Canis lupus familiaris: one gene and its partners. The protein of the gene in region 1 purifies or fractionates together with the protein of each later gene. This does not show direct contact. Links are inferred from orthologs where the notes say so. Each region holds a gene or a part of one and is shown in the gene's direction. Other genes may lie near its edges.

What was found.
Region 2: the proteins of POLR3E (region 1) and GPN3 purify together in Homo sapiens (affinity purification with mass spectrometry; 3 studies listed by BioGRID and IntAct, counting the BioPlex papers as one, with this or other methods). This does not show direct contact. The link is inferred for Canis lupus familiaris from reciprocal best matches to the Homo sapiens genes POLR3E and GPN3.
Region 3: the proteins of POLR3E (region 1) and POLR3H purify together in Homo sapiens (affinity purification with mass spectrometry; 9 studies listed by BioGRID and IntAct, counting the BioPlex papers as one, with this or other methods). This does not show direct contact. The link is inferred for Canis lupus familiaris from reciprocal best matches to the Homo sapiens genes POLR3E and POLR3H.
Region 4: the proteins of POLR3E (region 1) and POLR1C purify together in Homo sapiens (affinity purification with mass spectrometry; 5 studies listed by BioGRID and IntAct, counting the BioPlex papers as one, with this or other methods). This does not show direct contact. The link is inferred for Canis lupus familiaris from reciprocal best matches to the Homo sapiens genes POLR3E and POLR1C.
Region 5: the proteins of POLR3E (region 1) and POLR2E purify together in Homo sapiens (affinity purification with mass spectrometry; 5 studies listed by BioGRID and IntAct, counting the BioPlex papers as one, with this or other methods). This does not show direct contact. The link is inferred for Canis lupus familiaris from reciprocal best matches to the Homo sapiens genes POLR3E and POLR2E.
Region 6: the proteins of POLR3E (region 1) and WDR92 purify together in Homo sapiens (affinity purification with mass spectrometry; 3 studies listed by BioGRID and IntAct, with this or other methods). This does not show direct contact. The link is inferred for Canis lupus familiaris from reciprocal best matches to the Homo sapiens genes POLR3E and DNAAF10.
Region 7: the proteins of POLR3E (region 1) and POLR3B purify together in Homo sapiens (affinity purification with mass spectrometry; 8 studies listed by BioGRID and IntAct, counting the BioPlex papers as one, with this or other methods). This does not show direct contact. The link is inferred for Canis lupus familiaris from reciprocal best matches to the Homo sapiens genes POLR3E and POLR3B.

Annotation. Positions count from the first base shown.
Region 1 is NC_049227.1:23,570,048-23,573,797, reverse strand, and holds part of POLR3E (DNA-directed RNA polymerase III subunit RPC5), read left to right. Parts: intron 1-94; coding exon 95-139; intron 140-228; coding exon 229-320; intron 321-1,252; coding exon 1,253-1,373; intron 1,374-3,750. UniProt on the Homo sapiens protein: DNA-dependent RNA polymerase catalyzes the transcription of DNA into RNA using the four ribonucleoside triphosphates as substrates.
Region 2 is NC_049247.1:8,512,945-8,516,694, reverse strand, and holds part of GPN3 (GPN-loop GTPase 3), read left to right. Parts: intron 1-1,435; coding exon 1,436-1,603; intron 1,604-2,666; coding exon 2,667-2,791; intron 2,792-3,750. UniProt on the Homo sapiens protein: Small GTPase required for proper localization of RNA polymerase II (RNAPII). May act at an RNAP assembly step prior to nuclear import.
Region 3 is NC_049231.1:24,684,083-24,688,567, forward strand, and holds the start of POLR3H (DNA-directed RNA polymerase III subunit RPC8), read left to right. Parts: upstream 1-1,581; 5' UTR 1,582-1,797; intron 1,798-1,896; 5' UTR 1,897-1,914; coding exon 1,915-2,025; intron 2,026-4,485.
Region 4 is NC_049233.1:12,166,159-12,170,621, forward strand, and holds the start of POLR1C (DNA-directed RNA polymerases I and III subunit RPAC1), read left to right. Parts: upstream 1-1,589; 5' UTR 1,590-1,680; coding exon 1,681-1,749; intron 1,750-1,873; coding exon 1,874-1,945; intron 1,946-3,320; coding exon 3,321-3,428; intron 3,429-3,649; coding exon 3,650-3,782; intron 3,783-4,058; coding exon 4,059-4,178; intron 4,179-4,266; coding exon 4,267-4,419; intron 4,420-4,463. Other genes in the region: protein YIPF3, read right to left, coding at 162-268, 469-666, 1,289-1,369. UniProt on the Homo sapiens protein: DNA-dependent RNA polymerase catalyzes the transcription of DNA into RNA using the four ribonucleoside triphosphates as substrates.
Region 5 is NC_049241.1:58,128,599-58,132,819, forward strand, and holds the start of POLR2E (DNA-directed RNA polymerases I, II, and III subunit RPABC1), read left to right. Parts: upstream 1-1,231; 5' UTR 1,232-1,308; coding exon 1,309-1,365; intron 1,366-1,588; coding exon 1,589-1,763; intron 1,764-3,009; coding exon 3,010-3,125; intron 3,126-3,537; coding exon 3,538-3,618; intron 3,619-4,048; coding exon 4,049-4,107; intron 4,108-4,205; coding exon 4,206-4,221. UniProt on the Homo sapiens protein: DNA-dependent RNA polymerase catalyzes the transcription of DNA into RNA using the four ribonucleoside triphosphates as substrates.
Region 6 is NC_049231.1:68,510,816-68,514,565, reverse strand, and holds part of WDR92 (WD repeat-containing protein 92), read left to right. Parts: intron 1-1,068; coding exon 1,069-1,184; intron 1,185-1,806; coding exon 1,807-1,941; intron 1,942-3,750. UniProt on the Homo sapiens protein: Key assembly factor specifically required for the stability of axonemal dynein heavy chains in cytoplasm.
Region 7 is NC_049231.1:33,258,447-33,262,145, reverse strand, and holds part of POLR3B (DNA-directed RNA polymerase III subunit RPC2), read left to right. Parts: intron 1-1,504; coding exon 1,505-1,678; intron 1,679-3,699. UniProt on the Homo sapiens protein: Catalytic core component of RNA polymerase III (Pol III), a DNA-dependent RNA polymerase which synthesizes small non-coding RNAs using the four ribonucleoside triphosphates as substrates.

The DNA of each region.
Region 1 (3,750 bases):
GGAGGCCTCAGCCTTGGTGGGGTCTGGGTTTGTGGGCAAGGGTGGAGCAGGCAGAGCCCAGGAGCGGCTGACCCTGCCCTCTCCCCCACTGCAGTGAGTACCTCATGATGCTGATGCCACCCAGCCCAGAAGAGGAGAAGTGAGTAGAGTTGGGCCAGATGCCACCCTCCCCACCCCAAATCTTTCCTCTTACCCTCTCCTCTAACCCACTGTCTCTGTTTTCACCAGAGACAAACCCGTGGCCCCCAGCAACGTCCTGTCCATGGCCCAGCTGCGCACCTTGCCCCTGGCTGATCAGATCAAGATCTTGATGAAGAATGGTGGGTGGACACCCACTTCCTCCAGGGGGAACCCAGCCCTACCACCTCCTGGGGAAATGGACTCTAGGACAGACTAAGGACTCAGCATGGGCCTGGCTTGACGGCTCTGGCCTTGCCTAGAAGGAATGCACCACAGTGGCCTGTTGGGCTCCCTCAGCAGGCTCTGATTCCTGTTCTCGTTCTGGCTGGGCCACTGCCCTGCTGTGAGCCTGGGCAGGCCACTGATGTTCCCGAGACTAGGGAACTAGGATAGCTCCTGAGGGCGGAGATGAGGCTTCTTCATGGCTTCTACAGAGCCTTGCACGTGAACATGAGCTCCATTCGTTCCCTTGCACTGTTTTGTGGTACCTGCACCAGGCTGCACCCAGTAGGGACTGGTGTCTTTCAGAGGACTTGGGGGCCAGAACCTGTAGGGTAGGGTGAGTCCTGAACCTCAGAGCTTAATCCCAGGCCCTGGGCTCCTTTCCTGAGATACCACTTCTAGGATCTCCAGGTGCCTGAGCAGAGGCGAGCTCCCAGCTCTGCCTGGGGCTGCTGGGGTGCCAGGCCACTGCCCTCGCTGCCAACAGGCCTTCCCCGGGCCCTTTTTGGGCCCCAGGAGTCATGGTCTTACCTTTTTTTTTTTCTGAGTACACTCCACACCAAACATGGGACTTGAACTCATGACCCTGAGATCAAGAGTCACGACTTTACCAGCTGAGCCAGGCACCCCGTAGTAGTCTTACCTTTAAGGAGCACCCCTTGGGGTGTTTCCTCCAGAATTCAGTAAGGTGGGGTGCCCACACAAGCAGCCAGTGAAGTCAGCTCTTATTATTACCCATGTGTCAGTGTTATTCACACGCTGGAGTGGTTACATGAGCCTGAAGCTGTATAGACTTGGTGAGGGAGAAGGAAGGGCCCCTTCGCTTGTCTGACATCTGTGTCCTCCTCAGTGAAGGTCATGCCTTTTGCCAACTTGATGAGCCTCCTAGGCCCCTCCATCGACTCTGTGGCTGTTCTGCGTGGCATCCAGAAGGTGGCGATGCTGGTCCAGGGAAACTGGGTGGTGAAGAGGTGAGTTCCTCTGCATGGGACCATCTGATGCATTTCAGTTCGTGATTACTGATGTTTTGGGTTTAAGTCTACCATAGCACTGGTTGTCCTGCATTTTATATCCATTCTTACCTGCTACTTGATCCTTTTTTGTTACTCCATTTCTCCCTGCTAATTTAGAAGTTACCCTTTCTGGGTTCTTTTAGTGAGTAGCCTACAGATTCAGAGTGCATTCATAACTGATCATAGTTATATTAATGGCTGTATTTTATTCTTATCCAGTACAATTCAGAGACCTTAGAATGCTTTCTGTTTATCTTCCTCTCAACTCATGTGCCATTGTATTTCTATTTTTTTATTTCTATATTTTTAATTGTAGTTTAAAATCCACAAGATGTTATTTTATCCAGTCAGTGTTCTTCAGATTTCACATATTTTCTTTTTGATTTTGCTTATCATCCCTTTCTGCATCTGAGTTTCTATCTGGGATAATTACCTCCTGCCAAAAATTGCCGGGGTGTTCCCTTAAAGAAGATCTGCAGGGGGGAGGAGTTACTTGGGTATTGTTTGGTTGCAAATATCTATTCCACCTTTATTGATTGTTTGTTTTAAGATTTTATTTATTTATTCATGAGAGACCGAGAGAGAGGCAGAGACACAGGCAGAGGGAGAAGCAGGCTCCATGCAGGGAGCCCAATATGGGACTCGATCCCAGGTCTCCAGGATCACGCCCTGGTGCTAAACCGCTGAGCCACTGTGGCTGCCCTTCACCTTTATTGTTAAAAGATATTTTTCTTGAGTGTAGGATTCGAGGTTGATGGTTTCCCTTCCACACACTGACATAGTTTCATTGTGTTCTCATTCCCATTGTTTCTAGTGATGAGTCCCTTGGTCCCCTCTGGCTCTTTCTGAGATTTTCTCTTATTGTGGCTTTCCACAGTTCATTAAGATGCATCTGAGTGTGAGTTTTGTTTCATGTGTCCCGTGGGGTTTGGAGCATGTGGCTTGATGCCTTTCAGTAGTTTCTCTTCTGTGACCCTTCCACCAGACCATTATTTTCAAGAGGGATGGGGGTAGTAGGGACTTCTATTTTGACCCCTACCTTGTGTCCCTGACACTCAGTATAATGCTTAGCATATCTCAGACCCTTGGTAGTAAGTGTAGGTGCATTTCATGTATGTCTGAATTATGTTTTTATTTTTATTTTTTAAAAAATATTTGTGTATTCATGACAGACAGAGAGAGAGAGAGGCAGAGACACAGGTAGAGGGAGAAGCAGGCTCTATGCAGGGAACCCAACGTGAGACTTAATCCCGGGTCTCCAGGATCACACCCCAGGCCGAAGGCGGCGCTAAACCGCTGAGTCACTGGGGGTGCCCTGAATTATATTTATTTTAAATAGTGTGACATTAGGTACACTAGTAAGGGCTCACTTTTTAGAAGGTGTGGTGTAAGGTGAACAATCTCTTTAAAAATTTGTTCCAAATTTTTTAACTCCTTGCAGAAGCTCCTGTCATTTCAGCTGGTTGGCCAAGTGAATTGTAGAGTCTGTTCACGTTACTGCCACCTGGTGGCGCCCTTGCACTGGTAAACTTGTCCAGTGTCTGTCAGTAGTTGGAGCTGTTGTGCCACACACGTGTTTGATTATGGAAGGTCTTTGGATGTTGGATGGCACATCCCTCATTAAGTGGGACCACCCAGGTATATTTACGTTACGAATGGGTGAGAGCCAGGAGGGGCCGTCCCCTCACTCAAGGACACTGACCCAGAGAGGCAGACACTTGCCAAACATCTGGCAGCAAGGTGGTCCCGGAGCTGGGGTTTGAGCTCTTGGCCCAGCAGTGCCTGTGGCCCTGGTGCTTCTGCCCTTTCAGCCTGGGGTCCATCCCTGTAACCTGGACATGGGGCCTCTGGGGCTGTGTGTTTTCTGGCTCCCCGGTTCTTCGGCTCCTGCTGCAAGCCCTCACTGCCATGCTGTGGCCTGTGGGTGGCGCCCCTTTCTTGCCGTGTCCCTTCTGTTTCTGTGTGGAGGTGATGCAAAATTTACACATTGTTCACGAACTATGTCGTGATTGCTTGTTCTGTGTCCTGTGCTCCACTGTCATTCCTACACTGTCCCTGCCCTTGGGAATTGTGTGGGGCAGAGATGGGCACCATTACAGATGAGCCCAGGGCACGCACCACGTTTATCCATTTGTTCAGTACCTACCTAGCAGCTCCCTTCTCTGTGTGGCAGTGATGAGCAACATAAGCCATGTCCCTGTCCCCAAAGAGTGTTTCTGGGATGGGAGTGGACACAGAGCTCGACCTTAAAGGAAGGGTATTAGTTGGTTGCCAGGTAGGATTGAGGAGGGCAGGAGTGAAGTCTCCTAGCAGAAGGAGGGGGCAGGAGAGCAGA
Region 2 (3,750 bases), on another chromosome or scaffold:
CTCTCAGGTCTGTGTTCCGGTAATTGGCTCCCCTCCCTGGAGACAGCCAGTTTTGCCAGTTTCTAAGGTGTCTTTCCATAGAGAGTTTATGGATATAAAATCAGATATATGTATTATTGTGTATATGTAGTGAACCTTTGTCTTATTGTTGCTGTTGTTCACACAAATGATGGCTTTTTTTTTTTAATTTTATTTATTTATGATAGGCACACAGTGAGAGAGAGAGAGGCAGAGACATAGGCAGAAGGGAGAAGCAGGCTCCATGCACCGGGAGCCCAACGTGGGATTTGATCCCGGGTCTCCAGGATCGCTCCCTGGGCCAAAGGCAGGCGCTAAACCACTGTGCCACCCAGGGATCCCCATGATGGCATTTTTTACACAGAATTCTGCACCTTGCATTTTTCATTTAAAAGTATACCTAGGATGTGGTGCCAGGGTGGTTCAGTCAGTTAAATGTCCAACTCTTGGTTTCAACTCAGGTCATGATCTCAGGGTTGTGAGATCGAGCCCTGGGTTGGGCTCCATACTCAGCACAGAGTCTGCTTGAAAGTCTCTGCCTCTCTCTCTGCCCCTTCCCCCTGTTCATGTGCACGCACACCAACCCTCTCTCAAATTAATGAATTAAAGTATACTTGAGAGATTATATCACACCCATATTTAAAGAGTTTTTTTGGGGGATCCCTGGGTGACTCAGCGGTTCAGCACCTGCCTTTGGCCCAGGGCATGATCCTGGAAACCTGGGGTCAAGTCCTGCGTTGGAGGACTGCATGGAGCCTGCTTCTCCCTCTGCCTGTGTCTTTGCCTCTCTTTCTTTCTCTATGTCTATCATGAATAAATAAATAAATCTTTAAAAAAAAAGAGAGCTTCTCCTTTTTATGGCTACGTAGGGTTCCATTGTCTGGCTGTTTAATAATTTAATTGGTTCCTACAAACTGCTACAGTGAATAATCATGTACAGAAATAGTTTCACACATGTGTTTTATTTTTATTTATTTATTTTTATTTATTCATGAGAGACAGAGGCAGAGACATAGGCAGAGAGAGAAGCAGGCTTCTCATAGGGAGCCTGATACGGGACTCAATCCCCGGACTGGGATCACGTCCTGACCCAAAGGCAGACACTCAACTGCTGAGCCACCCAGGCATCCCACACATGTGTTTTTATATAATTGTTAACTATTGGGGATCCCTGGGTGGCTCAGCAGTTTGGCGCCTGCCTTCAGCCCAATGAGTGATCCTGGAGTCCCAGGATCGAGTCCCACGTCGGGCTCCCTGCATGGAGCCTGCTTCTCCCTCTGCCTATGTCTGCCTCTGTCTCTCTCTCTCTCATGAATAAATAAATAAAATCTTAAAAAAAATAAATTGTTAACTATCACTAATGAGGACAACAGTTTTTGAATGGCTGTTCTTAGATCCTGGGCCCCATCTTTTGCAGATATTCGGGAACTGATTGAGGTGGATGATGTCATGGAGGATGACTCTCTCCGCTTTGGTCCCAATGGAGGATTGGTATTTTGCATGGAGTACTTTGCCAATAATTTTGACTGGCTAGAGAACTGCCTTGGCCATGTAGAGGATGACTACATCCTTTTTGACTGTCCAGGTAAGTCAGTAATTTGAATATGACATTTTCTTAGAAGTTGTACTAGTTCTGTCCTCAGTGAGAGAAAGTGGATTGAGCCTTGTAGCTCTTAACTAGATTGCAGTGAGGCCCAAAGCTCTTATCTATTGGCTTTGAGTTTACTGAGTGCTTAGTTTGTGTGCTGAGAATACCATAGAGACCCCAGCAGCTGTGGTCTTTGCCCTCATGGAGCTCACAGTCTCATGGAGTCGGCAGCACAGTGAGTGTGCTAGACAGAATGAACAAAATCTCCTAGGTGATTATTTAATACTGATTTGTGATAGGTGCTCCACAGGAGTAGCACCAACCATCATCATATAGCAAGAAGATTAGGAGGCTTCTGACCAAGTATGTAAGCTGGGCTGGGGGGTGAAGGTGAGAGAGACCATACCATGGTCCAGGCAGAGGCACAACATGCCAGGAGCCTCAAGGCAGGAAGGAATGAGGTGGGTTTGGGACACCAAGAAGTCCAGGGTAGCCGAAGTACTGAAAACCCAGGGGAAGTTCATGAGGTGAGGCTGATAGGGGACAGATCACACACAACTCCTTAAGCCAAATTGTGAGTTTTAGACTTGAGTCTGACCTGTGATCATTTGTGGTTCTCACTTAATTTTCCTTGCTTTTATTTTACTTTATTTTTATATTTTTGTTTTGAGAGAGCACATGCACGCACACAAGAGAGAATCGTTAGCAGGTTCCGTTCCTAGTGTAGATCCCAACGCGGGGCTTAATTTTACAACCCTGAGATCATGACCTGGGCCTAAATCAAGAGTCGGACGCTTAACTGGCTGAGCCACCCAGGTACCACCCCCCCACTTTTTTTTTTTTTTAAAGAGAAAGTATTTTCCCTTGCTTTTAATTGAACCCACAGAAAAGCACATACATCCTAAGCATACAGCTTGATGAATATTCCCAAAAAACACACATCTTTGTAGCACTCAATTTTGACTCCCCTTTTTTAACCATCTTGTGGGAAATTTTTTTACATGTAGTTTGATGACTATATATTTCCTGTTTATATTAATCTTGTCATGTTCTTTTGTAGGTCAGATTGAGTTGTATACGCACCTGCCTGTGATGAAACAGCTGGTCCAACAGCTGGAACAGTGGGAGTTCCGAGTCTGTGGAGTTTTTCTTGTTGATTCTCAGTTCATGGTGGAGTCGTTCAAGGTTTGAAGATCCGTCTTGTCTATTTTTTAGTTGTGGGTACAAGCAGATGACAGTCTCCTTTAAGCACTCTGTGATTTCAATACTCTGGACATTTCACAAACTACATTCCAGAATAATTTAGTATTATCCTTTGTTATTCAGTTATTTTAATGACCTATTTTTTTTTTTAATGACCTATTTTTAACTCAAAAATGATAAGTTATGATATCGTATAGATTTGGGGGAGCTACTTAACAAAGAAAAATGAGGCAGATGCACATTTCATGTCTGTTTTTTTGTTTTTGTTTTGTTTTTAAGATTTTATTCATGAGAGACACGAGAGAGAGGAACAGAGAGAGAAACAGACTCCATGCAGGGAGACCGATGTGGGACTCGATCCCGGGACTCCAGGATCATGCTCTGGGTCAAAGGCAGATGCTCAACCGCTGAGCCACCCAGGTGTCCCTCGTGTCTGTTTTTAATTCTTCGAGAGCCTCTTGTCTAATTTATGAACTATATTTTCCATTAATTGCTCTTAAGAATATTCAATCAGAAAAGAGGTTAAGATACCATCTAGGGCGCCTAGGTGGCTCAGTGGTTGAGCATCTGCCTTCAGCTCAGGTTGTGATCTCGGGTTCCTGGGATCAAGTCCCACATTGGGCTCCCCAAAGGGAAGCTTACTTCTTCCTCTGCCTATGTCTCTGCTTCTATCTGTGTCTCTCATGAATAAATAAAATATTTTAAAAAAAAAAAAATACCATCTGGGGATCCCTGGGTGGCATAGCGGTTTAGCGCCTGCCTTTGGCCCAGGGCGCGATCCTGGAGACCCGGGATCGAGTCCCATGTCAGGCTCCCGGTGCATGGAGCCTGCTTCTCCCTCTGCCTCTGTCTTTGCCTCTCTCTCATCTCTCTCTGTGTGACTATCATAAATTAAAAAAATTTTAAAAAAATTACCATCTAAACTGAGATTTGTGATCACT
Region 3 (4,485 bases), on another chromosome or scaffold:
GGCCTTGTGAGCTACCATAAAGGTTTTGGACTTATTTATTATTATTATTTTTTAAAGACTTATTTATTTATTTATTCATGATAGACACACACACAGAGAGAGAGAGAGGCAGAGACACAGGCAGAGGGAGAAGCAGGCTCCATGCAGGGAGCCCGATGCGGGACTCGATCCCGGGATTCCAGGACCGGGCCCTGGGCCAAAGGCAGGCATCAAACCGCTGAGCCGCCCAGGGATCCCTGGACTTATTTATTATTAAGATATTTATTTATTGGGGCGCCTGAGTGACTCAGTGGTTGAGTGTTTGCCTTCAGCTCAGGTCGTGATCCCCAGGTCCTGGAATGGAGTCCTGCATTGGGCCCCCTGCATGGAGCCTGCTCCTCCCTCTGTCTGTGTCTCTGCCTCTCTGTGTATCTCTCATGAATAAATAAATAAAATCTTAAAAAAAAAGATATTTATTTGTTATTAGAGAGAGCACACGAGCAGGGGGGAGGGGTGGGGAGAAGGAGAGGGAGAAGCCGACTTCACACTGCTCATGTTGAGCAGGGAGCCCAACACAAAGCTCTTTCCCAGGACCCTGAGATCATAACCTGAGCTGAAGTCAGATGCTTAACTGACTGAGCCACCCAGGAGCCTCAATTTATTTAAGTAATTTCTACGCCCAAGGTGTGGCTCGAATCCACAACCTGGAGATCATCCCACACTCCATGGACTGAGCCAGCCAGGTGCTTCAAAGTATCAGACTTTATTATTAATTTAGTGGGAAGGTACTGGGGTTGTTTTTTGGTCCAATTCATGATCACTTTTCTTTTCTTTCTTTTTTTTAAGATTATGTATTTATATATTCATGAGAAACACAGAGAGAAATAGAGGCAGAGACACAGGCAGAAGGAGAAGCAGGCTCCGTACAGGCAGGGAGCCCCATGTGGGACTCGATCCCCAGAGCCCAGGATCACGCCCTCGGCCGGCCCAAGGCAGGCGCTAAACCGCCGAGCCACCACTGAGCCACCCAGGGATCCCCAATGATCATTTTTCAATTGAGATGTAATCTGCCTACTTAAGTGCAACGATCTTAACTGTCAAGTTTGATGCGTTGTTTTTTGTTTTTTGTTTAAGATTTTATTTTTAAGTAACCTCTATGCCCAATGTAGGGCTTGAACTCACAACCCTGTTAACAAGAGCTGCATGCCCTACTGACTGCCAGGCCCCCACCTGTGTAACCCACCCCCCTAGAAGAAGATAGGAAACATTCCTATCACCCCAGAAAGGTCCCGCCTGCTCCTTTCCAGATAAATCTCCCGCTTCCAGGGTCCTGAAGGGGTCTAAGCAAACTGTGCCGGCTTTTGAGAGGATCCCTCTGGCCGGGCGCAGCGCACCGCCCCGCCCGGGACGGAGAGGAAGAGCGACAGCCCCGCCGGGCAGGTGAGGTCGGGATCGCGCCCACGTTGCCTAGCAACCAGGAAGCGCGGTCGAAGGGCGGCCGGCTCCGCGGGGGCCCACGGGGAGGCCCCGCCCTACGTCGCGCCGCGTCGCGTTGGGGGGCGGGCAGAGGCTTCTTATTGGTCTGTTCTCCGGAAGCGACGGGATTCGGAATCTCGCCCGAAGTCGGCTGCGCGTGGGAGCGCGGTGCATGGCGGCGCGTGGCGCGTGGCGGGACCGGGTCGTGCGGCGGGTGCTCGCGCTCTCTCGCTGGAGCGAGGGCGTCTCCTGCTGAGCCTCAGTTTCCTCAGTTTGCAGAGGCTGCACACGCCCCGCACGGGGTACCCGGCGCCGCACCGCGCAGCCCCTCCGCCGGCCTGGGTGTGTGCGTGGGGGGCGCTCAGCGGCGGGGACGCGCCCGAGGGGGTTCGGGAACGCCCACCGCCCCACACGGCGCGTGACTGAGCCTCCCGCCCCCAGGGCCCCGGCGCAGGCGCGATGTTCGTCCTGGTGGAGATGGTGGACACCGTGCGGATCCCCCCGTGGCAGTTTGAGAGGAAGCTCAACGACTCCATTGCCGAGGAGCTGAACAAAAAGTTGGCCAACAAGGTACCGGGGGCCCACGGGGTCGCTGACAGGCCCTGGCACGGGAGGCCCAGCGCTGCCCTCCTGCCCGCTGCAGGCCTCCCCGGTCACGCCAAACCCTGGCCTTGGACAAGTAGCTTAACTTCTCCGAGCTCAGTTACTTCACCTGCACGTGGGATGTTGGAGTCAAAACAGAAACTGGGGAAATGCCAGATTGCACCCTGTTGGATTACCCGCTCTGGGCCTCAGCTTCCATTTGTAAAATGGAAATAATGATGGCTGTCACACACTGTGTCTGTGAAGATGGACAGTGGTTTAGAGTTAACCATCATTAAGGGGCCCCTGGGTGGCTCCGTCCCTGAAGGATCGGCCTTCAGCTCCTGATCGCAGGGTCTTGGGATTGAGCCCCACATTCAGCTCCCTGCTCAGTGAGGTGTCTGCTTCTCCCTCTCCTCCCTGCTCATGCTCTCTTGCGCTGTCTCTGTCTCGCAAATAAATAGAGTTAACCATCAGGAGATTTATTCTTTTCTTTTTTTTTAAGATTTTGTTTATTAATTCATGAGAGACACAGAGGTAGAGGGAGAAGCAGGCTCCATGCAAGGAGCGCACGCGTTCTCTCTCTCTGTTAAATATATCTTTTTTTTTAAGATTTTATTTATTGATTCATGATAGACACAGAAAGAGGCAGAGACACAGGCAGAGGGAGGAGAAGCAGGCTCTATGCAAGGAACCCGATGTGGGACTCGATCCCAGGAATCTGGGATCATGCCCTGAGCCAAAGGCAGACGCTCAACCACTGAGCCACTCAGGTGTCCCAATAAATATATATATTTTTTAAAATGAAGATTTTGGGATGCCTGACTAAACTGCTCAGCAATTTAGCGCCTGCCTTTGGCCCAGGGCGTGATCCTGGAGTCCTGGGATCCAGTCCCACATCGGGCTCCCTGCAGGGAGCTTGCTTCCCCCTCTGCCTGTGTCTCTGCCTCTTTCTCTCTCTCTCTCTTTCTGTGTCTCATGAATAAATAAATAAAATCTTTTTAAAAAATGAAGATTTTATTTATTTGAAAGAGAAAAAGAGAGAGAAAGCACAAGCACGGTGGGGGGCAGAGGGGGAGGGAGAAGCACTCTGCTGAGCAGGGAGCCTGACTTGGGACTCAATCCTAGGACCCTGGGATCATGACCTGAGCTCAAAGCAGATGCTTCACCAACAGAGCTACCCAGGTACCCTGGGGATTCATTTTTGAGAGTGGGAAAGGGCTGTGCAGAGAGAAGAGTTGGGCAGGCAAAGGAAACTGCATGTGTAAAGGCCCTGTGGCAGGAGGGAATATTTCATCCATCATAACCTGGAGGAGGACTGGTGTGGCCTGGAGAGGAAGAGAGGAGAGTAAGCTGGAAAGGTGGCAGGAGCCAAACCACATGGGGCCTGCAGGATGTCATGGCAGTATTGATTTCCATCTGTAGAATAGCAGGAGGTGATAGGCTGAGAAGGAGCAAGAGGAAGGTTGGCTGGCTTTAGACAGGAGGCCAGTCCCTTCTGTAGATAGAGGCTGAGATCATGGAAGGGAGTTGTTTGCAGCTGTTGGTGGAGAGAACTCATGAAGTCCTTAGTGATTGGCTTCCAGTTACGTTGTGAGGTAGAAGGTAGAGGGGGTCAGTGGAGGGATGAAGTGTGAGCATAGTGGTGACAGAAGGTGTGAAAAGTCCAAGAAGGTAAAAAAAGTAAAAAAAAAAAAAAAAAAAAAAAAAAACTGTTTAAAAAAAAGGGGATCCCTGGGTGGCTCAGCGGTTTAGCGCCTGCCTTTGGCCCAGGGTGCGATCCTGGAGTCCCGGGATCGAGTCCCACATCGGGCTCCTGGCATGGAGCCTGCTTCTCCCTCCTCCTGTGTTTCTGCCTCTCTCTCTCTGTGTCTATCATAAATAAATAAATTAAAAAAAAAAAAGCTGTTAAAAGTCCAAGAAGGGAATGTAGCCCTTTGGGGTATGGGTCCTTCAGGGACCTGTTCAGACGAGTCTTTTATATTAGAATCATTTGAGAGGAAGCTGCACAGAAGAGGTCTGTGGTCTGGCCAAGGGCACAGATCTTTTTTTTTTTTTTTTTTTTTAAGATTTTATTTATTTAATTATGAGAGACACACAAAGAGAGGCGGAGACACAGGCAGAGGGAGAAGCAGGCTCCATGCAGGTACCCAATGTGGGACACGATCCCATCCAGGCCTCCCAAGGGCACAGATCTTGTGCAAGGCAGCCAGGCTCTGTGGCTCATTGTGGTGAGGTCCGGCCCGGACTTGGAGTTCTCTGAGCTTCTTGCTAATCCTTGAACAGTCCTGCAGGGTGTGTATTGGGAGGTGATGACACTGGTGGCAGGTAAGCAGGCTGGTGATTTGGGGCACGGTGGGCATGGGGTATGAGATGCCCTGTGTCTAGTCTCAGAGCCTCGGGCACGTGTCCCTCTGCCACCCTCAGTCCCTGTGGCCACGGCTGTGT
Region 4 (4,463 bases), on another chromosome or scaffold:
AGTTTGCTGGATGAAGAAGAGGAGGAAGGCAATGTGTTATCACTATGTCCTGTTCTGTGACTGGTAAGAGGTATGGTGTAGCTGGAGTACAGGTGCAGTGATGAGGGCTGGGTATCTGGTTGTAGTTTGGATGAAGGACTAGATATGAGAAGGATCCTCACCTGCTTCGCACCTGGGCTGGCTCCACATCGAAATAGGGTCTCAGGATGTCGATGTTGGCATACAAGCTGAAGGCCCTGGAGGCTTGTCTCTTCCCTGCCTGCCACATCTGCAGTAAGGAAGACGGAGTGAAGTGGGTAGGTACTGCGAGAGGTTCTTGGCCATAGTCCCTGTCGCTCACTTTCTATTGGCCTTCTACACAGTTCTAATGGGTTAGGCGACATGGGGGTGAACTTTAACATCAACTCCAGCACTTGGGGGCCTTCCTAAGTATACTTTTCCACCTGCTAGGGATCCAATCCTGCTTACCTGATCTGCCACTTGCCGGCTCAGCTGTCCCTTAAAGCCCTTCATGCCCAGGAACTCCCCATCCTCTTCTTCAGCAGCAGCTGCATCAGCATCTACTTCTTCTTCACGCAGGCGCTGATGCAGTTCACCCATATCCTCAAAGCTGGAGCCTGAGGTATCATCCATGTTCTCCATGTCAATCACAGCTGAGCCCCCACCCTGTGAAGACAATGGCTTCTAGAGTGCAGGCCCTTTCTGTTCCATCCGCGGGTCCTCCTCCGTTCCTCCCAGGATTTGGGACTTTGTTCTTCCACTGCTGGGGATATGGCTTGGAATCACCATAGATCATACCACTCTCTTCCCCTCATCTGCTCTCAGAATCCTTGGTTGTCTGGCTCTCTTTTCTAGCCTGGGAAACCTACCCCCTGTCTTGCATATATGTCTTTCTTCTACCTTCCCTATCAAATCCTCAGAGGGCTGCAAAAGTGCCCGTTTTGTCTTTTCCAATCCCCAAACAAGGCTGTGCACACAGCATGGTTTTAGCCAGCGCCGGTGAATACCGCCCACTCCCTCGCCATGCCTGGCCCCGATCGACCAACAAACTTGTCTCGAAAGCAAGAGCAGGCAGGCCCAGAGGCACGAGGCCCTCTGGCTGGAGCACCAGTCTGGACCTTTGAGGTCAGCACCAGTCCCACTACCTTCCGTGTACACCAAGAGCCAAAGGAGAGGACAAGTGTTGCAAATGGAGCAGACTTCCAAGCTCCCAGGGAGAGTCCCCGCGACGCTTCAGGACGGCTGCCGGCCCTGCGGCTGCCGGCAGCCGGAGCCCTGGGGCGATTACCTGGATGTTTTCTTCGAACCCTCCCCATTCCGGGCCGGCCCCGCTTCGGGCGCCGCCAGCCGGCGCCGCCGTAGTTGCCATGTCCCTCGAGGGCTCCCGTCGCTGAAGCCCGCGCTAGTCCCGCGCGCGGAGGAGGAGTGGGAGAGACGTGGGCCTGAAGGAGGGAGATGTCTAGGGGCGAAAAAGAGCGGTGGGTTCAGCCGGAACGCAAAAAGGAGAAACCCGGATGTTTGGCCCAAACCGACTTCCGGAAGCTGGGGACGTGGACGGAGGCTGCACAGAATCTCGCGATATTTAACATCCCGGGAGGCGGTGCGTTGCCATGGAGACGAAGGAGGGCGACTGGGACGCGCGCGCCAGTTTGCTGCCCTAGTCACGTGGAGGGGTAGAAGATGGCGGCCGCCCAGGCGGTGCAAGAGATGCGGACCCGCGTGGTTCTAGGGGAGTTCGGGGTTCGCAATGTAAGCCCGTGGCCTTGAACTCGGCAAGAGAAATGAGAGTGGAACAGGAGGGATGAGTTGGGATCGGAGTTGGGGCGGGTTTGCCCTACCTGCCCCTTCGCAGACTCGTCTCTCTTTGGTCTAGGTTCATACCACCGACTTTCCCGGTAACTATTCCGGCTATGATGATGCCTGGGACCAAGACCGCTTCGAGAAGGTAGGTGGGGCTGGAGAGGGTATTGGGAACGGATCGTGTGATCTGAGCGGCCTGTGCTTTGGAAACTGCCCGTGGGATTCGCTGCGTTCATAAAACGTTTATTGAGCAATATGCTAGGCCCTCCGTGTACATGGTCTGTGCCCTGTTCGTCGAACAAGATGTTTAATCTTGTTGAAGAGCACGCATAAATGACTCCAGTATGATGTAAAGGTGGTTGGTAGCGATAAGAAAGGACAGTCGTGACTAGGGTGACCCCTGAGGGGCACTTAATCTGGAACGGAAAGCGGGGCAGCGGTATGGAAGATTTCCTTCCTGCAGGAGATGACATCTGAATTGAGCCCTGAACGATGAGTAAAATCTGAGAAAGGGTAAGGGTGAAGGTGGGGGGACGAAGACTAGAAGCTACATTATAAAGGCTTTGTGAACTGTGTTCCAAGAACGTCCAGTTTATTATTGCTAGAATGTAAAGTCGGGCAGCATGAGTGCTAGGCAAGATTGAAGTGCATCTTAGACACTGTAGGTGATAGGGGAAGTTTTGAAGAGCTCTGAGCCAGATGTGATCTGATTTGCATCCTTAACTGTTGGGAAAGATCATAGAGGGTAGTCAGATTTGTGACAGAATTGCATAGAGGAGCTGAGGTTGAAGGTATGAACTAAAATGATAATCAGGAAAGTAGAGCAAAAAGGAGACATGATAAATTTGGTGACTGTTTTGATGTGGGCTGTGAGGAGGGAGTATAAAATAACCTACCTTGAGGAACTGCTTTAATGGATGGTGGTGCCATTTACTGATGAAAAATAGGTCTGGGGAAGGGGAATGATGCTGCATTGTTTCCTGAATGTGAGGTCTAGCAGGCCAGTAAAATGTGTGTTTGAAAGGAGATGAGAAGTGAGAATTTGGGAGTTTTCTGTATATATAGTTGTTAAACCCATGAGCGTGATTGAGGTCACTTTGGAGAGAGATAAAAATCCAGAAAATAGTGACTTTATGGAGTGGGTAGGAGATAGTGAATTTAGAAGGATTCATTGGAGGAGAAAGAACCAGAAGATTGGTGCTCAGAAACCAAGGCAGAGTTGGAAAATGGAGGGATTCTATCAATGCCCGATGGAGGAGTCTAGTAAGAAAGGACAGAGTAGAATGGTCTCTGTGGGTGGTCTGGTTGGAGGATTTAAATGAATAGAGGATAAAAATGGGAACTTTTCAAGAAGTTCATGAAGAATTGGGGGAGAAGGGAACAGCTATGAGGTACATCTGGCCAAAGGGAGGTTCTTGGGTGAGTGGGAACATTGTTGCTGGGGCTGGGGGATATCCAGAGGGACGGTATTGATTCCACAGAGGCCAAGGCTTCATTTAGTGCATTTTCTGTCCCTGTAGAATTTCCGTGTGGATGTAGTGCACATGGATGAAAACTCATTGGAGTTCGACATGGTGGGAATTGATGCAGCCATTGCCAATGCTTTTCGACGCATTTTATTAGCTGAGGTATTTATTGGTGGGCATGGTGGCAGGGACGGAGTTGGGTGGAAACTGAGCCATCACCTTACTTGGAGAATTCTTAGGTTGCTCCTTTCATTTTCCTGAGCATTCCTCCTGAACTTTTCATCAGGTGTTTTTCTGGGAATAGGGCCCCCTGTGTCAGGAAGTAGGAGTAAATAGGGAGTCTGTAGGGTCTCTGTAGATGAATGATTTTATTTTTTGGGCAGGTGCCAACCATGGCTGTGGAAAAGGTCCTGGTGTACAACAACACATCCATTGTCCAGGATGAGATCCTTGCTCATCGCTTGGGGCTTATTCCCATTCATGCTGATCCTCGTCTTTTTGAGTATCGGAACCAAGGTCAGCGCTTGAGAAAACGAAATTGTGGCAAAATGGGAACAGCTGTCTCCTAAAGTAGATTCTAGAGGATCTACTGCCTACGTTCAAATCCTGGCTTGATTACTGTGACCATGAGCAAATCACTAATGTTTTGGTACATCAGTTCTGATCTGTGTGAACACTTGCCCTGGTCTTCTGAAATTGGAAATTTGTCCGAGGAGTAAATGAGAAGTGTAGATTAATGCACTCAAATACTCAGTCGTTCTTTAAGAGCTGCCACTTTCATCCTTTGTTCAGGGGATGATGAAGGCACAGAGATAGATACTCTGCAGTTTCGGCTTCAAGTCAGGTGCACACGGAACCCCCATGCTGCTAAAGATTCCTCTGACCCCAATGAACTCTATGTGAACCACAAAGGTGAGTGGTGGTATGGTGAGTAGGAAGGCCCACCTCTTGATGGGTACTAGTTTTAAGGATTGATGTTTTCCTGATGTGCTTTCTCCAGTGTACTCCAGGCACATGACATGGGTGCCCCTGGGGAATCAGGCTGACCTCTTCCCAGAGGGCACGATCAGACCCGTGCATGATGATATCCTCATTGCTCAGCTGAGGCCTGGCCAGGAGATTGACCTACTCATGCACTGTGTCAAGGGCATTGGTAAGAAACCTGTGGGTTGCCCAGGGCGGGAGGGTAGTTTGAGG
Region 5 (4,221 bases), on another chromosome or scaffold:
GGAGCGAGAGGGCTGGCAGGAAGAGGTCAAAGGAGAGGGAGCAGCTGTAGGAATGTCAGAAGAAGGGCGTATCCACCAGAGGGTGCAATGTGTGCAAAGGCCCTGGGGCTGCACTTTGCCTGCTGCGTTGGCTGCAGGAGGCCCCGGGGGAGGGGGGAGGGGAGGTCAGAGGCTGTCGTGGGGCAAGCCTGGGGCACACCTGGGAGGCCTCGTTGATTGCCTTGAAAAGCCGGGGTTTTCCTTTGCTGTTGCTGCATTTCAGCTGAGAGATGGGGGAGGGGGAGAGGAGGGAGAGGGCCACAGATGGGGGCTCACGTCGGCGCCTGCAGTTCTGAAGGTGGAGGGTTTGCAGTCGGACAGGATGGACAGGATGTGGAGAAGGGGCAGGACGGAGGAGCGGAGCTGCCGGCCCAGGGCGGACAGACTAGGGAGAAACGGGTGTAGACGGCAGATAAGAAAAAACGGGCTGGCGGAGGGGGTGCCTGGGGGGCTCCGTTGCTTAGGCTTTTTTTTTTAATTCTCGAGAGACAGAGACAGAGAGACAGAGAGAGAAAGAGAGAGAGAGAGAGGCAGAGACACAGGCAGAGGGAGAAGCAGGCTCCACGCAGGGAGCCCGACGTGGGACTCCAGGTCTCCAGGGTCACGCCCTGGGCTGCAGGCGGTGCTAAACCGCTGAGCCACCCGGGCTGCCTTTCTTTTTTTTTTTTTTTTTTTTAAGACTATTTACTCCTGAGAACCGCTGGGGGAGAGGCAGGCTCCTGCGGGACCCGATGCGGGACTCGAGCCCACGATGCGGGGATCACACCCCGAGCGGACGCTCAGCCACGGAGCCACCCGGGCGACCCGAGGCTGCTGCGCAGTAAGGCGGCGGCGACGCCCAGCAGCGGGATGCGTACCTGGTGGGGGGCCTGACAACATGCCCTGCGCCCCGGGGAGGCGAGCTGACCGCTGACCCCACCCTGGCCTCAGTTTCCCCGCCCACACCTCGCCTCCGCCCTTCCGGATTCCAAACTCCCCACCCACACGGGCATCGGGCGGAAACCACAACTCCCGACAGGCCCCGCGGCCGAAACCCCGCGACAACTGCCGAGGCGAGAGTGGGCGGTCCCGTTCGCTCGGCTCTGGCTCCGCCCACCGCCGCTCGCAGAAGGCCCGGGCTGCCCTCGGCGCTGCCGCCCGCGAAGGTCTCTGGAGTCCGGCGTTCGCTGTGGGCAGCCCCGCGCGGGGCTTGGCAGGGCTCGGCGCAGGCGCAGTCAGCGCGGGCCCCTGCCGCGGGCTCAGGCGCGCGGGTTGCGAGCGGCGGCCGCCATGGACGACGAGGAGGAGACGTACCGGCTGTGGAAGATCCGCAAGACCATCATGCAGGTGAGCCCGCGCGGTCAGGGCGGCGGCGGGCGCAGCTCGGAGCTTCCGGGCGCGCTCGGCGGGTGCGTCCCGGCCTCTGCGGCCCCTTCCTGTGCGGTCCCCACGCGCTCGGAGGCGCCGGGCCGCGGCCCTGTCCGTCCTTCTCCGCGGTGACGTCATCCGGCCGCGCCCCTCCCGCCCCGCCCTCTGAGCCCGGGGGTCACCCGGCTGGTGCTCCCTGCAGCTGTGCCACGACCGCGGCTACCTGGTGACGCAGGATGAGCTGGACCAGACGCTGGAAGAGTTCAAGGCCCAGTTTGGGGACAAGCCGAGCGAGGGGCGGCCCCGGCGCACGGACCTCACGGTGCTGGTGGCCCACAACGACGACCCCACCGACCAGATGTTTGTCTTCTTTCCAGGTGAGGGTCGCGTGGGTCCTGGGTGGCTGCGTGACCCCTAGGAGTCCGCAGCCCTCGTGCAGCCATCCAGGGACGGTGTCTACACCCGCCCTCCCGAGTGCCCAGCCTGCTGCGCACGGTGCCACGGGGTGCTGATGGGAGCCCTGGGTTCTGTTCCCCGCTGACTGTTCGTTCAGTGCAGCCGGATTGTCGCAGGCCTCCCGGGGGGCCCAGCCCCCTGCCCAGAAGCAAGGGCGTCGGAAACCTTTGCAGGAGGGACCCTCCTGGTGCTCGTGCAAACAGCGTCCCCGTGTGTGGGTCGGCCTGTGGCAGGGCCCTCCCTGGAGTGGGCCCGGGGCGCCCGTGTGCTCCAGTGGGCCACAGAATGGGACTGAGCGGCCGTGCTGGTCCACCTGGACCGCCGCGACTGGGCGCCGCAGACCGGGCGGCTTCAGCAGCAGCCTGACCTCTTCCGGGGCTGCAGGCAGGACGTCTGAGACCAGGGTGTGCACGGGGCTGGGTCCCCCTGAGGCCTCTCCCTGGCGTGCCGGTGGCCGTCTTCTCCATGAGTTCCCGAGGTCGTGCCTCTGTGTGTCTGTGCTGTTGTGTCTGACTGAGGTCCATCCTGACAACCTGGTGGAATCTCCTCTTTAAAGACCTCAGTTCCAAGTACGGTTGCACCCGAGGTCTCGGGGGTTAGGATTGTAACACGGGGATTCCGTGGGAAACAGCTCAGTCCCTGACGCTGCCCGTCAGGTGAGCAAGGGTCCGAGGGGAGTGCTGTGATGGGGCAGATGTGGTGCACCACACGCACCCGTCCTGGCAGCAGGCACCCAGTTGCTCACCTTCCACCAGGCTCAGAGGGTCCCGCAGGTCTTGGCCCCTGTACTGTGGTGAGCGTGAGGGTTCCCACCGTGGCTGTGCAGGGAGGGGGTTTGGTCCTTCAGGTCAGCTGCTTCATCTGGGGATTCCAGACATTGCACCACGTAGGTCCCCAGATTCAGCTTCCAGGGAGGGATCCACCAAGTGGGTAGATGCAGGGCACCCATCAGCTCCGTGGGGGCTGGGGGGGAGGACTGGCACCCTGGTGGGTTCCCTGGGGCCCTAGAAAGAGGGAGCTGGTCCAGAGAGGCACTGCTACACCTTGGCAAGGTCAAGCTGGAGCCCGCGCGCCTAGCAGGGTGGAAGTGAACGAGCAGGTGAGTGAGCAGGGCCCTTGGGGCAGGAGGGACTCTTGCAGTGTAGACCTCGTGTGTTCTGTCCCCAGAGGAGCCTAAAGTGGGAATCAAGACCATCAAGGTGTATTGCCAGCGGATGCAGGAGGAGAACATCACCCGGGCCCTCATTGTGGTACAGCAGGGCATGACTCCCTCCGCCAAGCAGGTGGGCACGCTGCTCGTGTTGGCCGCACGTCCTCATGGGCCCCAGGATCTGGGGATCTGAGAAGGAGCGGCTCTCCCGTGTGGGCAGAAGCCAGAGCAGGGAGGTGCCCTGCATGGGTGCCAGCATTCCTGTGGTTAACAGGTCCGAGGAGGGGCTGCTGTTTGGGACGGAGGGCCAGCTCTGTGCGCTCGTCCCTGCAGGGTTCTCTACGTCACACCAGCACAGGGACAACTGCAGGAGCATTTTGTTAGGTGTCACAGTTTGTGTCGGGTGGTCTCTTCCTCCCAGAGGAGCCTTACTGACCTGACACGTGGGAACCCCCTTTGGCTCCCACCTGCCCTCAGCCCCTGGGAGAGGTGGGGTGGCGGCGTCTTGGGCCTTGGCTGTGCGTGAGGGTCAGCCTCTCTTTCAGTCCCTGGTTGACATGGCCCCCAAGTACATCCTGGAGCAGTTTCTGCAGCAGGAGCTACTCATCAACATCACGGAGCACGAGGTGAGGGCCTTAGTGGGGGTCTGCGGGAGGGGAGGCTGGACGGCTGGTGAGGTGGCACCTGCCCGAGCACAGGGAGGGCCTGGGGACGCACCAGGTGCCGCTGCTCCCACTTTGTGGGGAGGAGGAAGCAGAGCCGGAGTCTCAGTGAGGCCCTGGGCACTTGCCAGGTGTGCAGTCAGGCAGCTGGGGGGCAGGGGGTGGGGTCTGTCCAGGGGCCCCTGCACTCTCCAGGTTATACCCCCCCAGGCGCCTGCAGGCCATAGCTCCTTCCCCCCAGGCGTGGAGTCAGGAGCAGGGTGGGGTGGCAGCTGGGACCCTTGGGTGGATGGTTGACTCCAAGGAAACAGCCTGTGGCGCTCTGCTCCCCTTTCCCGTGTGGGGGCGCCGTGGGGCCTGTCACACCCACAGACTCAGTTTCCCCTCTCGACAGCTGGTCCCAGAGCACGTCGTCATGACCAAGGAAGAGGTGACAGAGCTGCTGGCCCGATAGTATCCTTCAGCCCATCCCCTGGGACCCCATTCCCCCGCCCCCAGGCTCTGCCCCTCCCCCCCCCCCCCCCCGTTTTTTCCCTGACTGAACGTCTCAGCAAACTCCGAGAGAAC
Region 6 (3,750 bases), on another chromosome or scaffold:
GATCTCTTTTATGAATGTCAGGTACATGCAGAACAGTGTGAACATGCAGAGGTGAGAGATTCCCAGTCTTGCCTCAAGAAGCTTATAGTTTAGTAAAGAGGGTATGACGTCTACGCTATTGATGGTACAGGGCGGGAATGATAAAAGGTGACAAGGGGTGTGGATGAATATAGAAGGCATCTCGAGGGGCAGGTGGCTATGGAGGAAGAACATTTTGACCCCAGGCCAAGTATATATAGTATTTGAATCACTGAAGTTGGGAGGAAATGTCAAGCCTGGGGAATAGCCTGAAATGTGCCCAAGAACGTATGTTGAAGGAAACCGTGGCGGGAGTAGCCTTTCCAAAGTCAGGAGTGTTTAGATGGTTGGAGGCGGAGGTGAACTTTTGAGAGTTTTTGTGGGGATGAGATGTGACCAGAACTTGAGGAAGATCAGATTGGTGGTGTGTGGCGGGGAGAGGGGAGGCCAGAGGTCCTCCAGAAGCACCCCCGGATCCACACAGGAGGAGTTGAACCTCAGGTTACAGTCTTACTGCAGCTGTGATCGTTCCTACAACTACGCACAGATCACAGTGTGTTAACTTAACCAGTTCAGATTTATTTCCGTGCAAAGAGAACACCAGACGACATTTTGTAAAATGAAGGAGTTTTCAGGTTGTTTCTATTTGCGTCCAAATGTAGTTGCTGCCAGAGAAAGCAACCGTAGCACAGCTGTAGTTCTTCTACCCAAAGCTGCTGTGTTTGGACATAACCGACCCGGCCGCGTGCGGGTCGGGCAGAGAAGGAAGGGCGCTTGCACGTAGACTCCGGTGAACACCGGTCAGCCCTTCACTAGAGAACCTCAGCAAGGGAGGCTTTAAAAAAAACAAAAAACACAAAAACTCAAAAACCAGTATCAGATAGCCAGCCTAATAATCCTGACGTCCCGTCGGGGTTGGCAACTCGAGATTCGGCCTCTTGTGGGTTTTTTGGTCTGATTTGGTACCAGTTATATGTGTGTTTTACGACGTGATTTCAGCAGCCTTCAGACGAGCCTTCCTAAAGACCCGCAATGCGTCTTGATTTCCAGGCAATGCTTACAATCAAGAGGAGCGTGTTGTTTGTGCTGGCTATGACAATGGCGACATCAAACTGTTTGATCTGAGAAATATGTCCTTGCGGTGGGAGACCAACATAAAAAATGGGGTAACGTACACTTGGCTTCTGTGTGGGTGGTCTGAGCGTGCTTTTGTCCACCTCCGAACTACTTTAGAAGGAGAGCGCCCCTCATGGCTCATCTCGGGCAGCCCCCTGCCCATGGCTTTGAACCTTCAGGGCTGTTCAGCCCTCTGAGAATTTAATGATTCTCATCAGGGGTCCTCTCTTCAGAAAGTGAGCACACGTTGAGATGTGCTGTGACAGTCCCTGGTGGCCACCAGCCCCCGTGGCCTGTGTGTGGACCCCCGTGGGCGAGGCCGTGTGATAGTGAAGTGAGGTGGTAACGGGCCCCGTGCCTGCTAATACTGGAAAGCCTGAAACAGTAGTAGCCTCCCCAAGTACTTTCAGATTTGGGGGTCGTGAATTGTAGACCTTTAGTGAAGAATGTGGTTCCTTCCTGTTTTTTAAAATCAGCTTTGACTGGGCGGTAGAAAATAAAGTTACATGAAAACAGTAAAAGATCCCATGGGTTTCCAGATTGATCTCAAAAGATATAGTGATTATTTAAATGCTTTCACATGAACTGATAATTTTACTGTTTGACTTAGTTTAAAAGAACCTCCTGAATAACAGTCATTGGACCATCAATAATACGTATTTTCTATTTCAGGTGTGCAGCTTGGAGTTTGACAGAAAAGACATAAGTATGAATAAATTGGTAGCTACGTCACTGGAAGGAAAATTTCATGTTTTTGATATGAGGACACAGCATCCAACTAAAGGTTTTGCTTCTGTTTCAGAAAAGGTAAGTTAGGAGAGAAATGTCTTTCTATGAAGAGGAATGTTCATAGCTTGTTTTAGACTAATAAATAGAATTAGTCACCGAGGTTCCTTCCAGGTCTTTATGTGAAGGGAGCTATTTTTAATGCATTCCTGTAGGAACTTGACAAGTTTTTCTGTGCAGAGAGTATTTTCCCAAAGTTTATCAATTTTAGATTTCTTGATTACAATAAAGGCTTCTCAGTTGGCTAAGAATCTTATATTGTAGTTTAAGAACAATTGCAAGACAACTAGCTGATGCTAAGAACTGCATCAACAAAATGTAGCCTTATGCTTTCTAATAAATATATAATATTTGTGTTAATATCTAATTATATACTTCTCAAAACATATCAACATGTATATGTTATTTCCTTTCATTTTATATCCCGGTTTGCTATATTTTTTTTTTTTTTAATTTTTATTTATTTATGATAGTTACAGAGAGAGAGAGAGGCAGAGACACAGGCAGAGGGAGAAGCAGGCTCCATGCACCGGGAGCCCGATGTGGGATTCGATCCTGGGTCTCCGGGATCGCGCCCTGGGCCAAAGGCAGGCGCCAAACCGCTGCGCCACCCAGGGATGCCCCCCGGTTTGCTATATTAAGTGAAATCATTCAAAGCATTAATCATGGGCACATAGTAGATTCAGAAAAATTATTTATTCAGTCACTCACTTACACATATACGTACCATACGTTGCTCCAGACGTATTTGAGTAGCTTGGAAGGAAACATCCACGGCACCTGGTGGCTCAGTCGGTTAAGCATCAGCCTTCGGCTCAGGTGATCCCGGGGTCCTGGGATGGAGCCCTGCATGGGGGCTCCTGCTCAGCGGGGAGCCTGCTTCTCCCTCTCCCCCTGCCCCTCCCCCTGTTCTCTCTCTCTGTCAAATAAGTGAATAAAGAAAATCTTAAAAAAGAGGGAAACGTACAGTATTACGACATCAAAAATAGATCAAGAAAGCAAATCACAGGGAAAATACTGGTTAAAGAAAAAAACAAGATGATGAAGTCTGGAGTAAGGGGATTGCATAAAATTCAAGCTGAAACGCCCTGTCATTTGCCGGAGGGTTGGGAATGTGACTCCGACCTTCCTTGAATGTGGAAGTAAAGATCCGTTACAGGTTTGTGGTTTCCATAAGATTAAAACTTGTAAGTTGCTCAGGAACTAAACATTTACTCTCTCGCTCCCTCTCCCTCCATCACGGATTCAGTAGCACTTCTCAAACCTTCCTGTCTTGTCTTATTTTGTTATTACTGCTAATTATTATTATTACTGCATATAAATTGCTGTCACTGCCTGATGAACTAAATTCTTAACAACGTAGCTGTAAGTTGCAGTATCTTTTGCCTCGTTATTTCAGAATATAGTAAGTGCCTGTCAGCAGCTTAAAGCATTTTATTAAATAGGCTCTTATGCAATTGTGACACGTTTCTCAGCCAGTGGTTTGTTTGTTTGTTTTTAAGATTTTATTTATTTGAGAGCATGAGTGAGCGAGCACAAGCAGGGAGAGTGGCAGAGGGAGAGGGACAAACAGACCCCCCTGAGCAGGAAGCCTGACTCAGGGCTGGATCCCAGGACCTGGGATCACGACCTGAGCCAAAGGCAGACGCTTAACCACTGAGCCACCCAGGTGCCCCCGTAGCCAGTGTACTTTAAGAGGTCACATCCCCTCTTGCTTTGTGCGTGTATGTTTTTATTCAGTTTTCAGGAGAGAAAAGAGAAGCTTAAACTATGAAATAAACTGAAATACGTTTTAGCACCTTGAATCCAGTCACTTGAGGACTCTTACAC
Region 7 (3,699 bases), on another chromosome or scaffold:
ATGTGATCTAGCCACCTTCACTTGTCCAATGGCCACAGATGGAGGGACTCCTCTCCTATCCCAGGTATTCTGTCAGCAGATAAAGACAGCCCTTGTGCTCAGTGATGAAGTTTCCACTACAGTGTGTTCATTTTGATCATTTGTAAGTTTTTCACACGTAGATTGTCTTTGAAAGAATAATCTACAACTTAAATTGAGCTCCCAATATAACTTTGGCAACAACAAAAGGTAAAATTTCAGCATGGGTTGGCATACGCCCTGTTTACCTTTTTAAATCTAAAGCAAGCTTGAGGGAACCCTGGGTGGCGCAGCGGTTTGGCGCCTGCCTTTGGCCCAGGGCGCGATCCTGGAGACCCGGGATCGAGTCCCACGTCGGGCTCCCGGTGCATGGAGCCTGCTTCTCCCTCTGCCTGTGTCTCTGCCTCTCTCTCTCACTGCGTGCCTATCATAAATAAATAAAAATTAAACAAAACAAAACAAAATCAGCTAGCCAGGGCAGCCCTGGTGGCTCAGCGGTTTAGCGCCAACTTCAGCCCAGGGCCTGATCCTGGAGACCTGGGATGGAGTCCTACGTCAGGCTCCCTGCTAGGAGCCTGCTTCTCCCTCTGCCTGTGTCTCTGCCTCTCTCTCTCTCTCTCTCTCTGTCTCTCATGAATAAATAAATAAAATCTTTAAAAAAAAAAATCAACTAGCCAGGGAGCTCAATTTTTTCTTTTCTTTTTTTTTTTTTTGTTTTTTTTTTTTCTCTTTTCCTTTTTAATAGTTTGTGTCAGCACTACCTGGCTAGGGCTGCCTGTGCTGTTTCAGAATCCCCTGATTGTCCCTGCACCCTGGAATCCTTTTGAAGGATTCCCAAGCACGGCAGATACATAAGCCACAGGGAAGCTCTTCAGGGGACTCATAGCTCCCAGCTCACCCCCGTCTGAGGAGGAATGGAACATGTTCATACATGAAGGACAGCTCAGACAGTGTCTGATTCCATGTGATTCCTGATCTATTCCAAATTTTAAAAAAATCCATTTGATTCTTTCCATGTTTGTTTCTCAGTAACTGGAGCCCCAACAACTACTGGGGGACCCAGGCTTCCTCCACGCTCTCTTCTGTATAGTTTCTCCACTTTCAGACAACAGAACTGAAACATCTCTGAAAATACTCCAAAGACATTCTTCCCTGATGTGAGGACAATAACAGTAACGGTATCATGATGGTGGTAGTATGATGATATGTTGATTTATTATTCCATCACATAATATGACTTCTTACTACCACTTAATAACAGTAGCAGCCACTAGTATTGTCCTCCCATGGCTCTTTGGGAGCCTTACATCCTATGTTGTACAGATGCGGCTGAGGGGCAGGCTGAGCAGCTCCTCAGGTTACCGTCCCGTGAATGATTTGAACCAAGGTGAGCCTGCTCTGGAGCCTCGTGTGCTTGGCCAGGACGGGATGCTGCCCTTTGTTGGTTCAGCAGAATAATGACACATCTGTCTGATTTGTCTCCAAGGCAGCCCACTGAAGGTCGGTCTCGTGATGGCGGTTTGCGTCTTGGAGAAATGGAACGTGACTGTTTAATCGGCTACGGAGCCAGCATGCTCCTACTAGAGAGATTGATGATTTCAAGTGATGCCTTTGAAGTTGATGTCTGTGGGCAGTGTGGACTTCTGGGGTATTCTGGCTGGTAAGTGGGTGCCATATGCCTCTTGTACCGCACACCTTGCCTCTTAAATCATAGCTCAGGAATCGACCCCAGATCCCACCCACATATTACCCATACTGCCCCATCCACGCACTCCTAGAACTGGGGATTTTATATGTATCTGTTTAGTTTGTCTGCCTAATGCTCTGCTTTCTACACACTAGAGTTTAAATACCCAAGGAGTATGGACTTGCTCTTCTTCTTTTTTTTAAGATTTTATTTTGCAAGTGAGTTAGAGAGAGAACTAGTACAAGCAGTAGCGGGGAAGGGCAGAGGGAGAAGCAGACTCCCTGCTGAGCAGGACTTGGGACCCGATCCTAGGACCCACAGATCGTGACCTGAGCCAAAGGCAGACGCTCAACCAACTGAGCCAATTACGCACCTGATTTTGTCTTTTTAATATTTTTTCAAACACCTTTTATCACTGTTTACCTGTAAAAAAATTGCTAGCAGATCCATTGTCAGATATGAGAAGTACAGCATGTTGTAACTAGAACTTTTTAGAGAACATTTTGTTGAATGCACTTATTTAACTTCAAACCCAGAGAGCCCGGTATGTTGTGCAGGTTACGTAGCACATTGGTGACCAGGACCAGGACCTGACACCCTGGCCCCTTGTCTGTGCTCCAGCTGAACAGCAAGCTGTTTTACACCATGAATTCCATGATAGCAGAGCCTAGGTCTGTCTCAGGCACTCACTCAACACACAGAGTTTGCTGAGTGCCAGGCACTCTTCCAGGCCCAGAGTGCAGTGGTGAATAAGACACATGAATGACTGCTCACAGGGAATTTACCTTCTAGTTCATTCCAACTACATTGGAAGCCCTCCTGCAGGGGCTCCCTGCTCAGTGGGAGCCTGCTTCTCTCTCCCTCTCCTTCCCCCTCCCCCTCCTTGTGCTCTCTTGCTCTTTTTCTCTCTCAAAAAAATCTTTAAATTTATTTTTTTTAAAAAGATGAAGCTACATGTTTGTTGGTTTTGTTTGTGTAGACAGAGCATCTTTACACCTCTTAAGTGGAGAAAAGGTGTTCCTTGCACTGAGGAACAGCTACCGTGCCTTGGGTTAGTCACCTCTTGTGACCCTGACTGAGCCTGTTGGCAGGAGGACCTGTAGCTTACCATCTCCACTTACTTTCCTACCAGAGATGAGGTCTAATGAGGTCTGAAGTGGGTCCGCAGGGACAGGAAGCTGCCTTGACTCCCTAGTCAGCCTTCTCCTGACCTCCCAGAGCCTCTTCTCCCCAGGGATGCATCATCCCCTGGAGGAGAAAATTAGGCCCAGTTGTGCAATCCTTGCCAGAGTTCGAGGGCTTGAAGGTTACCTGGGCCACCTTCCCCTGCTGAGTCTCCCCTCAGTGAAGCCTCCTTCTCAGCCCTACCACCCTAGGCCTCCAGTTTCTTGGTTGAATAAAGCAAATCAAGAGCCAGAGTGAGCAAGCATCTTCAAATATAGTATATGCCTTGCTTGGTAAATGACAGACCTTTTAGCCAATTATTCAGTGGGTTTTTGCGTAGAAGAGTTGATGAGACTTGTCCATGAAGAAATCATTTCATTTAAAAACGAACACAAGAGGTGGCCATTTGCAGCTCATTCCTTTCATTAGGTTGCAGAGACAAGTGATATGATTCTAAGCATGAGACTGGCTCTTGTATCAGTGACTGGGGTGGGGATTTCAATCCGGAGATTCTATTCGCCTTTTGAAATGCATATTGAATTTGTGTTTTATTGTCCTGGCTGTGTAACAACGGCCACACAGTGTAATAGGAAGGTGCCCGGGACCAATGCCACTGTGCTTGCATCTCCAGATTTGGCACAAGGATTTTTAAGTCATTTGCTTTGAAAAGATGGTACAGAAGAACCATTTTATTAAAAATAGGGATCAAGAAACTTCAGAATGGATTTCCTTTCCTTCTCCATCCTCCCTGCATTTTCTCCTGTGCCCCCCACCCAAAGAAGAGAGAGAAAGAGAAAGCAATAGACCAGATTCTCTCACGTACTTTGACA